Coturnix japonica: one gene and its partners. The protein of the gene in region 1 interacts with the protein of each later gene in a pairwise test. Links are inferred from orthologs where the notes say so. Each region holds a gene or a part of one and is shown in the gene's direction. Other genes may lie near its edges.

What was found. The genes of interacting proteins can lie anywhere in the genome.
Region 2: the proteins of EHHADH (region 1) and DES interact in binary tests that used the Homo sapiens proteins (3 or more experiments, as listed by UniProt). The two-hybrid records come from large-scale screens. The link is inferred for Coturnix japonica from reciprocal best matches to the Homo sapiens genes EHHADH and DES.
Region 3: the proteins of EHHADH (region 1) and CAT interact in a two-hybrid assay, tested with the Homo sapiens proteins (2 studies listed by BioGRID, with this or other methods). The link is inferred for Coturnix japonica from reciprocal best matches to the Homo sapiens genes EHHADH and CAT.

The regions. Positions count from the first base shown.
Region 1 is NC_029524.1:2,564,206-2,567,705, reverse strand, and holds part of EHHADH (peroxisomal bifunctional enzyme), read left to right. Parts: intron 1-438; coding exon 439-542; intron 543-1,244; coding exon 1,245-1,417; intron 1,418-2,613; coding exon 2,614-2,725; intron 2,726-2,948; coding exon 2,949-3,053; intron 3,054-3,500. UniProt on the Homo sapiens protein: Peroxisomal trifunctional enzyme possessing 2-enoyl-CoA hydratase, 3-hydroxyacyl-CoA dehydrogenase, and delta 3, delta 2-enoyl-CoA isomerase activities. Catalyzes two of the four reactions of the long chain fatty acids peroxisomal beta-oxidation pathway.
Region 2 is NC_029522.1:24,553,372-24,555,532, forward strand, and holds the end of DES (desmin), read left to right. Parts: coding exon 1-104; intron 105-197; coding exon 198-418; intron 419-506; coding exon 507-556; intron 557-757; coding exon 758-840; intron 841-925; coding exon 926-967; 3' UTR 968-1,661; downstream 1,662-2,161. UniProt on the Homo sapiens protein: Muscle-specific type III intermediate filament essential for proper muscular structure and function.
Region 3 is NC_029520.1:6,151,039-6,154,538, reverse strand, and holds part of CAT (catalase), read left to right. Parts: intron 1-332; coding exon 333-437; intron 438-1,611; coding exon 1,612-1,737; intron 1,738-2,689; coding exon 2,690-2,881; intron 2,882-3,434; coding exon 3,435-3,500. UniProt on the Homo sapiens protein: Catalyzes the degradation of hydrogen peroxide (H(2)O(2)) generated by peroxisomal oxidases to water and oxygen, thereby protecting cells from the toxic effects of hydrogen peroxide.

The DNA.
Region 1 (3,500 bases):
GTGAAACTAAGGGCTTCTAAGTCATTTCCTATGGAAAATCCAGAACCATCTGAACCAGACTCTTTCTATTGCTATTTTGCAGCTGCTGATCACACGGCTAATGTAAGCACAGAAACATTGGATTGCTTCCTGTGACAGAATTATGTGTCTTTTTCTACACAATATTTTCAAATCAATAATTTCATAATTGCTCAAAATCCCATTGCAGGCTTTTTTCCCCTCTTGGCAGAGGTGAGCAGTGATAAGCTTGTTGGATTTTGGCACTTGCTCTTGAAGTGAGAGGGAGACTAACAAAGATTCAACCAGAGAGGGTATGGCAGAACACAAAGCAGAGGACAGACATACATGGATTCATTGCTTATTTTCACTGAGCCGCTTTGTGTTGGTGGAAAAGTAAAATTGTTGGTTGTTAGTCACTGAATCTCTTATTTATTTCAGTTTGACAGTTCTCCAGGCATTAGAGGATGGACTGAAAAGAGCAGATGCAGATCCTTCAGTGAAAGCTGTTACAATTTGTGGTGAAAATGGGAAGTTCAGTGCAGGTAAGACATACCTTCAAACAGTATAAGAAAAAGAGGAAGAACTCTGCCATGTAACACTAATAACAAAATGCCACAGATTCTGATGTGGCTGAAAATGTCTGAAAAACAGTGAACCTTTTCTGCTGTCTCAGACTGATGTAGGACACATCACAGATTGGACTGTCCAGGCCAGAAATAAGCCAGTAGATTCATGCTGAAACAGGGAACAACTTCTCATCTTTCTATCTTGCTGATATGCTGGTGTCTCATGACATTGTATAAAATCTCAGGACCAAGAATTAGCCAATTATATAGACCCGTCTTGGGATGGGGCAGTTGTAACAGATCTCCAGTTGTAGAGATCTGTGAAGCTAACAGATTTCTGTGGAGTTTGACATTACCTGTAAGTAGCAATTCAGCTTCTCCAAACGAAATTTCTTTTATTTTTTTAAGCAAGTATCCTTGCAAAATACTGTCGTAATTGCATGATCATTACAGTTATGTACTCTTCTATTTTGCCATCCCTTTAGTACTCTGAATAGGCTTAAGGAGCCTGGGTTTCTTGCAGCTGGTCTCAAGAGATCATTGCCAGTTAATATGCCAGCAGTGTGTTCTTTCAGACCTCAGTCATCCATGAGTGGTGACGTTTAATGGCACCGAGGGAAGAGTCATTCCACTCACTGCCTCCTCCACTAATTCCTTTTCATCTTTGTGCTTCCACAGGCGCTGATATTCGGGTATTTTCTTCTCCAAAGAAGCAGGGTCTTGGCTTGGGCCCCATAATTTCTCTCATAGAAAGGAGCGAGAAGCCTGTTGTGGCTGCCATTGAAGGGATCGCCTTAGGGGGAGGCCTGGAGGTGGCACTTGGCTGTCACTATCGTATAGCACACGTGCAGGTAACACCATGAAGTAGAGAAGTTGGTGGGAAAATCTGGAGCCTGTGGCCATGTAAAGAGCGGGAGGCTGCTCCTGAAGAGCAGCTGAGCAGTGTGTCTTTTCTAATTAGAAACTTCAGAAACTGAGTATTAATTTGCACTCATTCTCAGTAGTCATTATCAGAATTCTGGGGAGCTGGCTCATGCAGTATGATTTCCTCTTATTTTCGTCCCCAGCCATGCGAATTTAGCATTTCTTTCTGCAAGTGGCCTAGTTTCAATAGGTGAAACTCAGCTAGCACAGAGCACTTACAATTTGATTCCTCTCGGGCTGTTTCCTCAGGGTGCACTCTAACCAACAGACAGCTTCCCCTCCTCCCCATTTAAGTCTTTCAAAATCATCTTTTTTTTGTTTCTCTCAAATCCCTTCCTTCAGGATTGCCCAGCTGTCTTTTAGCAGCACCTCATCTCCTTACAGAGACTCTTCCCTGACAGGAGCATCTCCTCACTTTATCAGAGCAAATCACTTTCTCCCTGACAACGTGGGTTGCTGTAACACAATGAAGAGACACTTTATATACCCTGCATGTGATCTAAGATAGGTGCCTGAAGTAGCGGTCTTAAAATAACCCCACATCTCTTAAGAGCTCAATTAGAAATGTACAATTAAAATAAATAAATAAACAAGCTGAATAAATATTGAAATTAAGATAGGAGCTGTCACTGGCTTCTTTACCATAACTTTAGTAAATCTCAAGTGCATCAAGAAGTACCTGAGCGTTTTTGAAAGATAGTGAAGTGTTCAGTATGCAAGTGTTTTCCTACAATATGTTTCTCATATATAAGGAAAGGAGACAGCAGGTCATGGAGATGCTGACAATTGTTTGTCTTCTTGAGCTGTGCAGCTGGAAGCATTGGTTTGCACATCTTGTGGTCTAGAGTGATGCTGTTGTCTCCATCAATCTCCTCCAGCATTGTGCTAGTACTCATACATCCACTGATGGATCATATCTCTTCTGCCCCTGTACATAAGCTCTTGAAAAAGTTGAGTGGGCTTCTGGGTTAAACCTCTCACACAGTAAAAAGCAGAAATGAGGGTTTTATGTAGTAGTTTTTCAAGGATTCCTAAAGAATCAAGTCTGATTGTTTTGTTCTGCTCAGTTCCTAATTGTTAGTCTTGTTAATCAGATTTGTTGTTGAATTTGTCTCTAATCTAGGCACGGATGGGTTTACCAGAAGTCACAATTGGGTTACTTCCAGGTGCTGAAGGCACTCAGCGGCTCCCCAGACTGATTGGGATTCCTGCTGCTCTGGATATAATTACTACAGGTAAAGTGCTGTGCCTTGCTCTGTATATAAGGATAACAGTGGGTCATGCCGTTGCTTTTGTCTAATGAAGCCTAATGTTTGTTTGTAAGGACATGGCTGCTTGAGTTGAAATTCAGCTTGGTTCTTCTAAGGATAGATTGATCAGATCAAAAAAAAAAAAAGAAAGAGTGAAGTCACATGCAACACCCCAGCTGTAATCGCCTTATTTCTCTCTTCATCACAGGAAGACATGTTCCTGCAACTGAAGCACTGAAGCTGGGCTTGGTTGATGAAGTTGTGGAAGAGAACACAGTTGAAGCAGCAATCCGTTTGGCAACCAAGTTGATTGGTGAGAATTGTAGCAATGCCAAGAAATAATTGGTGAGGCTGAAGAGAATTAGAACAAAGCCCATTAGCGTGTTCCAGCCTTCACAGTCCATTCATTGGGTTTTGGCATCCATACGAAATGGAATTAACAGCAGGATTTGTTTTCTGTTAAGTGAAAGTTGAAAATCTCAGATGCTGAAGAGCTGCAGAAATTTGGTTGAGGATTAAGTGGGAAAAAAAAAACAACAGAGTCCTCGTGCTTCTATAATTTTATATCCATGCTTTTCTGGACTACTGCACTCAACTGATTTTAGAGACTATGTGCTGTTTCTATACATAGTTTTGGATGATAGCTGGAATTGTATGTAGTCTGGTTGTGCCATCGATAACAGCCAATTGAAAACAACGTTCTCCCTCTAGTGGAGGGACTGGCACATCCTCAGCTGAACTCAGTGATCCACGAGTAACT
Region 2 (2,161 bases), on another chromosome or scaffold:
CCAACAAGAACAACGATGCCCTGCGGCAGGCCAAGCAGGAGATGCTGGAGTATCGCCACCAGATCCAGTCCTACACCTGTGAGATCGATGCCCTCAAGGGCACGGTGAGCCATAGACAGCACGGAACGAACCCCAGGAAGGACTTTGGGGTGCTCTGTGTGCCACCCCCCTGCTGACACACACCACTTTCCCCCCAGAACGACTCTCTGATGCGCCAGATGAGGGAAATGGAGGAGCGCTTTGCAGGGGAGGCCGGCGGGTACCAGGACACCATTGCACGGCTGGAGGAGGAGATCCGGCACTTGAAAGATGAGATGGCCCGGCAGCTGCGTGAGTACCAGGAGCTGATGAACGTCAAGCTGGCCCTGGACATTGAGATTGCCACCTACAGGAAGCTGCTGGAGGGCGAGGAGAGCAGGTGAGCTATAGGGGGAAGCAGGGCGATGGGGGGGGGGGCCTGGTTTTGGAATGGTTGGTGCTGAGCTCTCCCCTCTGTGTCCGTGCAGGATCAGCATCCCCATGCACCAGACCTTTGCCTCCGCTCTCAATTTCCGAGGTGAGCTGGGCTGAGCCCTCGGGAGTCCCCGTGAATGGCACGCTGAGCTGGGAGGAGGGTGGGGAGGAGGGGCACATGGGGTGTTTGGGTGAGGTGGGGGGACTCAGGGCTCCTGGAAACCCTCGGCCCCAGCCCCAGTGCCACCTTCCCATGCCACCTGGCTGCGTGGCCGCTGCCATCCCCGTGTCCCCTTCCCCACAGAGACCAGCCCAGACCAGCGTGGCTCTGAGGTGCACACCAAGAAGACAGTGATGATCAAAACCATCGAAACTCGTGATGGAGAGGTGAGCGCTGTGTGTGTGTGTGGGGGGGGGCAGATGGGCGGTGAGGATCGGGGACATGGCATCATCTCACGTTCCTTTCCCTCAGGTGGTGAGCGAGGCGACCCAGCAGCAGCACGAGGTGCTGTAGAAGACTCTGTCCCGGTGCCCAGCCGCCCTTCTGCCCCCCCCAAGCCCGTACTCCCCCCGACACGGCCGCCTCCGGGCACGGCCCGGGCTCCCCCCACACCCCCGGGCTCTCTCCTTCGGCTTCGCAAGGCTTCGCAGCTAGCGCCAGGATCAGGGCCGGGCCGGGGGGCGGCAGAGAGGGACGGAGGGGACAAGCAGGAAGGGGTGGGGGGAGCAGGTGGTGGCCTCGGGTCCCAGCAGCGGGTTCTGCATCCCCCCGCGCCCCGCAGCCCCCTCCCCGCTCGGGGGCGGTCCCGCAGGAGCAGGAGCCGTCTCCCCGCACGGCACAGCAGCTCGCCCCGGAGCTGGCGTTTCTCCTGGGTGGGGCTGCAGCGATGCCGGGGACGGGGAGAGGTTGGGGTGCTCCGGGGGCCGGGGCTCTGCGCTCCCCCCCTACGCTGCCCTAGAGGCAGCCCCGTCCGGGGGAGGAGGGGGAGAGGCTGCGCGGGGATGGGGCTGGCTGAGCAGAGAGGAAACCCGTAGGTGGACACAGGAAAGAGCAGGAGTGAGTGAGTGGGAGAGAGGGGGCAAAGAGAGAGAGGAGCCGGAGAGAGGCCCGGGGGCCAGGGCCGGCGCCCCCACCCCTCGCCCCACCGCACCCCCACCCCACCGCGTGTACGTGACTGCCGGCGGCTGAAATAAACAAGAGGAGCATCGCCCTGCCTCCAGTGCATCTATGGGGCGGGAGCGTGGGAGGGGAAGGGGGCGGTACACGGGGGGGGACATCGAGGGGTACTCAGTTCCACCACTGGGGAGCAACCTTGCCGATACCAGGACTGCAGCAGAGCCCGTCCCCGAAGGGAGCTGAGCCCTGAGCAGCCTCAGAATGACTGCGGGATCCCCACACTCTGCTGGGACCCTTTGCCCGCAGTCGGAGCTGGGCTGGCCCCCAGCACACGGAGGGACGCTCCGTGTTCCCCCCTCAGGGTCACAAAGCGTTGAGGTGGCTCTCAGCCGGTGCTGCCCCTCTTCCCCTCGTCATCGCCGTTCCCAGTGGGATGTTTTAGCGACAAAAACCAAGTGTCCTCAATCTGTTGCCACCGGCGGGGACAGGGCTGCCGCCGGAGAGACTGAACAACTCACTGTCTTTGTGGGGACCCCCCCCTTATTTGGCTGCAGGACCAAAGAGAGGGCTGTAGGGCTTTCAGACCCCAAG
Region 3 (3,500 bases), on another chromosome or scaffold:
GTGTTCATATGCAAAGTTAAGAGTGTTTGCCTTTCATTGGACAGAAGTTGAAAGCATTTTCTGTCTTTGAACATTCTGTTTATTCTAATGGTAAATATTCTGCTTTCATAGTCAAATCAGTAAAATTAGAGTAACAAATCTGATTGCAGGAAGTAAAATTCAATAGAAGATTTTTCTTAAAGCTTTCTATTTCTCCAGTGTTTTGTTCCTTTCATAGCTAAAAATGTTGACTAAAGCTGCCAATCTTGTTTTGTACATGTATACCATGTATTTGGGGATATGAAATAAAACTTGTTTTTTCCTCTCTTCCCTTTCTTCCCTGGGCAAATTAGTTTCCATCCTTCATCCATAGTCAGAAGAGGAATCCTCAGACTCATTTGAAGGATCCAGATATGGTATGGGACTTCTTGAGTCTTCGCCCTGAGTCTTTGCATCAAGTAAGTTTCTCTTCTCTTCTAATTTCATATTACGGCAGCATGTTTTTAACTGAAACTTTTTTTCTGGAAGCCTACATAATATTTTAGGCACAGTAGAGTTCAAAGGCCTTTAATACCTTTGATATTAAGGTTTTTAGCACTTCTAGTTTTGCCTTTTTTCTTTAAAAGAGTATGAAAAAGCTAGATTTCTCTCATTTCTGTGGTCATATTTTACATAGAGATGGAAAGAAAGTTTGTATGTTTCCTTAATACTAAGCCCATGGGAGAGCTGATTAACAATGAGCCTGTATATTAGTATCAGCATATGAAAAAGAATGCTATATGAAAAGCTAGAGAAAATTGAAATACAGTTGTGTTTTTTAAAATTAGATGGTTTCATATAGTAGTTTTCCAGTTACTACTGCTTGGGAATAGAGATACAACAAGCATTGTTTGATTGTAAACCTGAAGAAAAACAGCATTCTGAGTAATGCTGGTGCTATGTTTGTTGCCTAAAGACACTTAGGGGTTTGTTATTTAGGACTTAAAATTTCAGGTGTTCTTTATTTTATAGAAAATCTTATTTCTATTTAAATATCTATGCTTTTTTGCTCTGTGTTATAGAGAAAATCACAGCATTATCACTAGGTTGATGTGTTTTTCCTTTAATATTTAAAGTGGGTGTAACTCTTTGAATCCTTGTTGCATGCTGTATTGGAAACTGGTAATCACAGCCTGAAGCTCTGATTAATCAGCTGAGGCAAGTGTTGGGTCAGCTGTGGGAGCACAGGTGAGAGTAATCTAGCTGTGCTCCTGGAAGGGGTGAACCTCAACTCCTCCTCCTCCAAGACCTCATTTAAGGGCTGACCACCACTGAGGCAGCATCTTTTGGAGATTGCTCCCCAGTGGAGACTGCCTCAGCTTTCTGGTCAAGGCATTGACATTAGTGAGTTTTCCTTTGCTAATAAATTTTGAATATCTACACCATCATCTTTGTTAACATCTTTATGTTAGCCACCCTTACACATGTGCAAAATCTAAGAAGTCTTAGTTTATTAGAAACTTAAATTTCTCTAGGATGTTGATACAATATTTAATACTAAATGTTTACAGTGATATAATAAGTGACCTACTTTCAAGTGGTTGTTTAATTGAGCTGTTAAATGAGCTAATATTGTTGGATTCTTCTCTTTAGGTGTCTTTCACATACAGTGATCGTGGTATTCCTGATGGATATCGTCACATGAATGGATATGGATCTCATACTTTCAAACTTGTTAATGCTAGTGGGGGAGCTGTTTACTGCAAATTCCACGTTAAGGTGTGCTTTTTCTCCACTTAACTATTGGAAGTAGAATTTATGCTAAATTCCACTTGAAGATTGTCTGAATGCTCTGTATTTTACTTCTACTTTAATTCAGAAGATAGTTACTTAGTGCATATACTTAATATATATTGTGTGCGCGTCATTTCAAATCGATTGCATGCATTTAATATATGTAGAGGATGTTCTGTAGAACTACTACACTGACGTATGCAAGGACAAAGAGTATAATCCTCTTTCTGAGATCTGTGGCTGAAACTTGTAGAACTTTCCTACTTTGTTGGGAAGTAACTCAGTAGCACATCCCACTTGCAAACAACTTCCCTGTTTTAAAGACAGTGGAGCTGCCTAACTTGTTAAACTTCAGTTAGTGGAGCCTGGCTGCTTACCCCTGAAGCAAGGCTTGAGAAACCATTATTCTAAACTAAGAGGAACTGCATAGCAGCTTTTAGTCCTTGAGTTGTCAGATGATTATTAAAATGGCACTATAGTTCCTGTTGAGGATGTCAGAGAAATTTCAGAAGAAAGAAATTTCAGAAGAATATTTAAAAAGACAGATTCTATATGAATCTCAGACTTTCAGTATTTGCTAACTTTCCGTCAGTTTATTTTGGCATGTGATCTGTGGGAAGAGATGATATGGTGGGACAGTAGAGGAGCACCCCATCCTATGGGGGGAAAGGAGAAATATCTTCACCTTATGATCTGTAGAGATCATATTTTCATGTTTGTTTGTATGTAGCATAGCATTACATTTATTTCTGTTTTATAAGAGAACTCACTTTTACCTGGTAGCCAGCTGTATTGCTACCCAGACTGGTATTACTGTAGACTGGGACAGTCATGCTTTTAGTTCTTGAGTCTTGTTAAAACACATTGTTGTTATTATTGTTTATTTCCTTTAATTTTTGCATGTCATACCTGGTTCTACTGCTTTTGTTCCTTTTAGACTGATCAGGGCATCAAAAATCTTTCTGTTGAAGAAGCAGGGAGGCTGGCTGCTACTGATCCTGATTATGGAATTCGTGATCTTTACAACGCCATAGCCAATGGAAACTATCCTTCTTGGTCTTTCTACATTCAAGTTATGACTTTTGAAGAAGCAGAGAGGTTCCCATTTAATCCTTTTGATTTGACTAAGGTATCTCTGTTGTTCTTCCTTGCTGAAACAGTTACATTGTGTGGTCTTGATGTTGGTCTTGTTTTATGTCAGACTTCCAGATGCTGTTGCAAAGAATGGCACTTAGGAAGGTAGTAATACAAATTTACTTTTTTTTTTTTTTTCCCCTCAAATATTGCCCTCCCCAAATGTCTAAATACTTCTGACCTTGAAACTGCAGCATGACGAAAGTAAGGCTAGTTTATCCAGTTGCTTTTTCTTAGTAGCAGAAAACCATCATGCTACCAGTTCCACATACAATGCTGCATTCCTAGGCATCTCTTCAAGTGCCTGTGGGTATTTCATTTAAGCAATCATGTGCTGGGATTATGCCATGAAGCAATAATTTTGCACAAATGCTCCATATGAATTTCAAAGGACAAATTCCTCAAAATGTCTGTTAGTGAAGTAAGAAATAATTCAATAATGTATTTTCTCTCAGTTGAGACTTTATTAAGCAGCACTTGCCTGTTTTGTTACTTAAGCTGCATAATACTGATTACATTTATTTTAATGCATGCATTTTCTCTTATAGATTTGGCCACATAGTGACTACCCTCTCATTCCGGTGGGCAAGATTGTCTTGAACAGGAATCCTGTC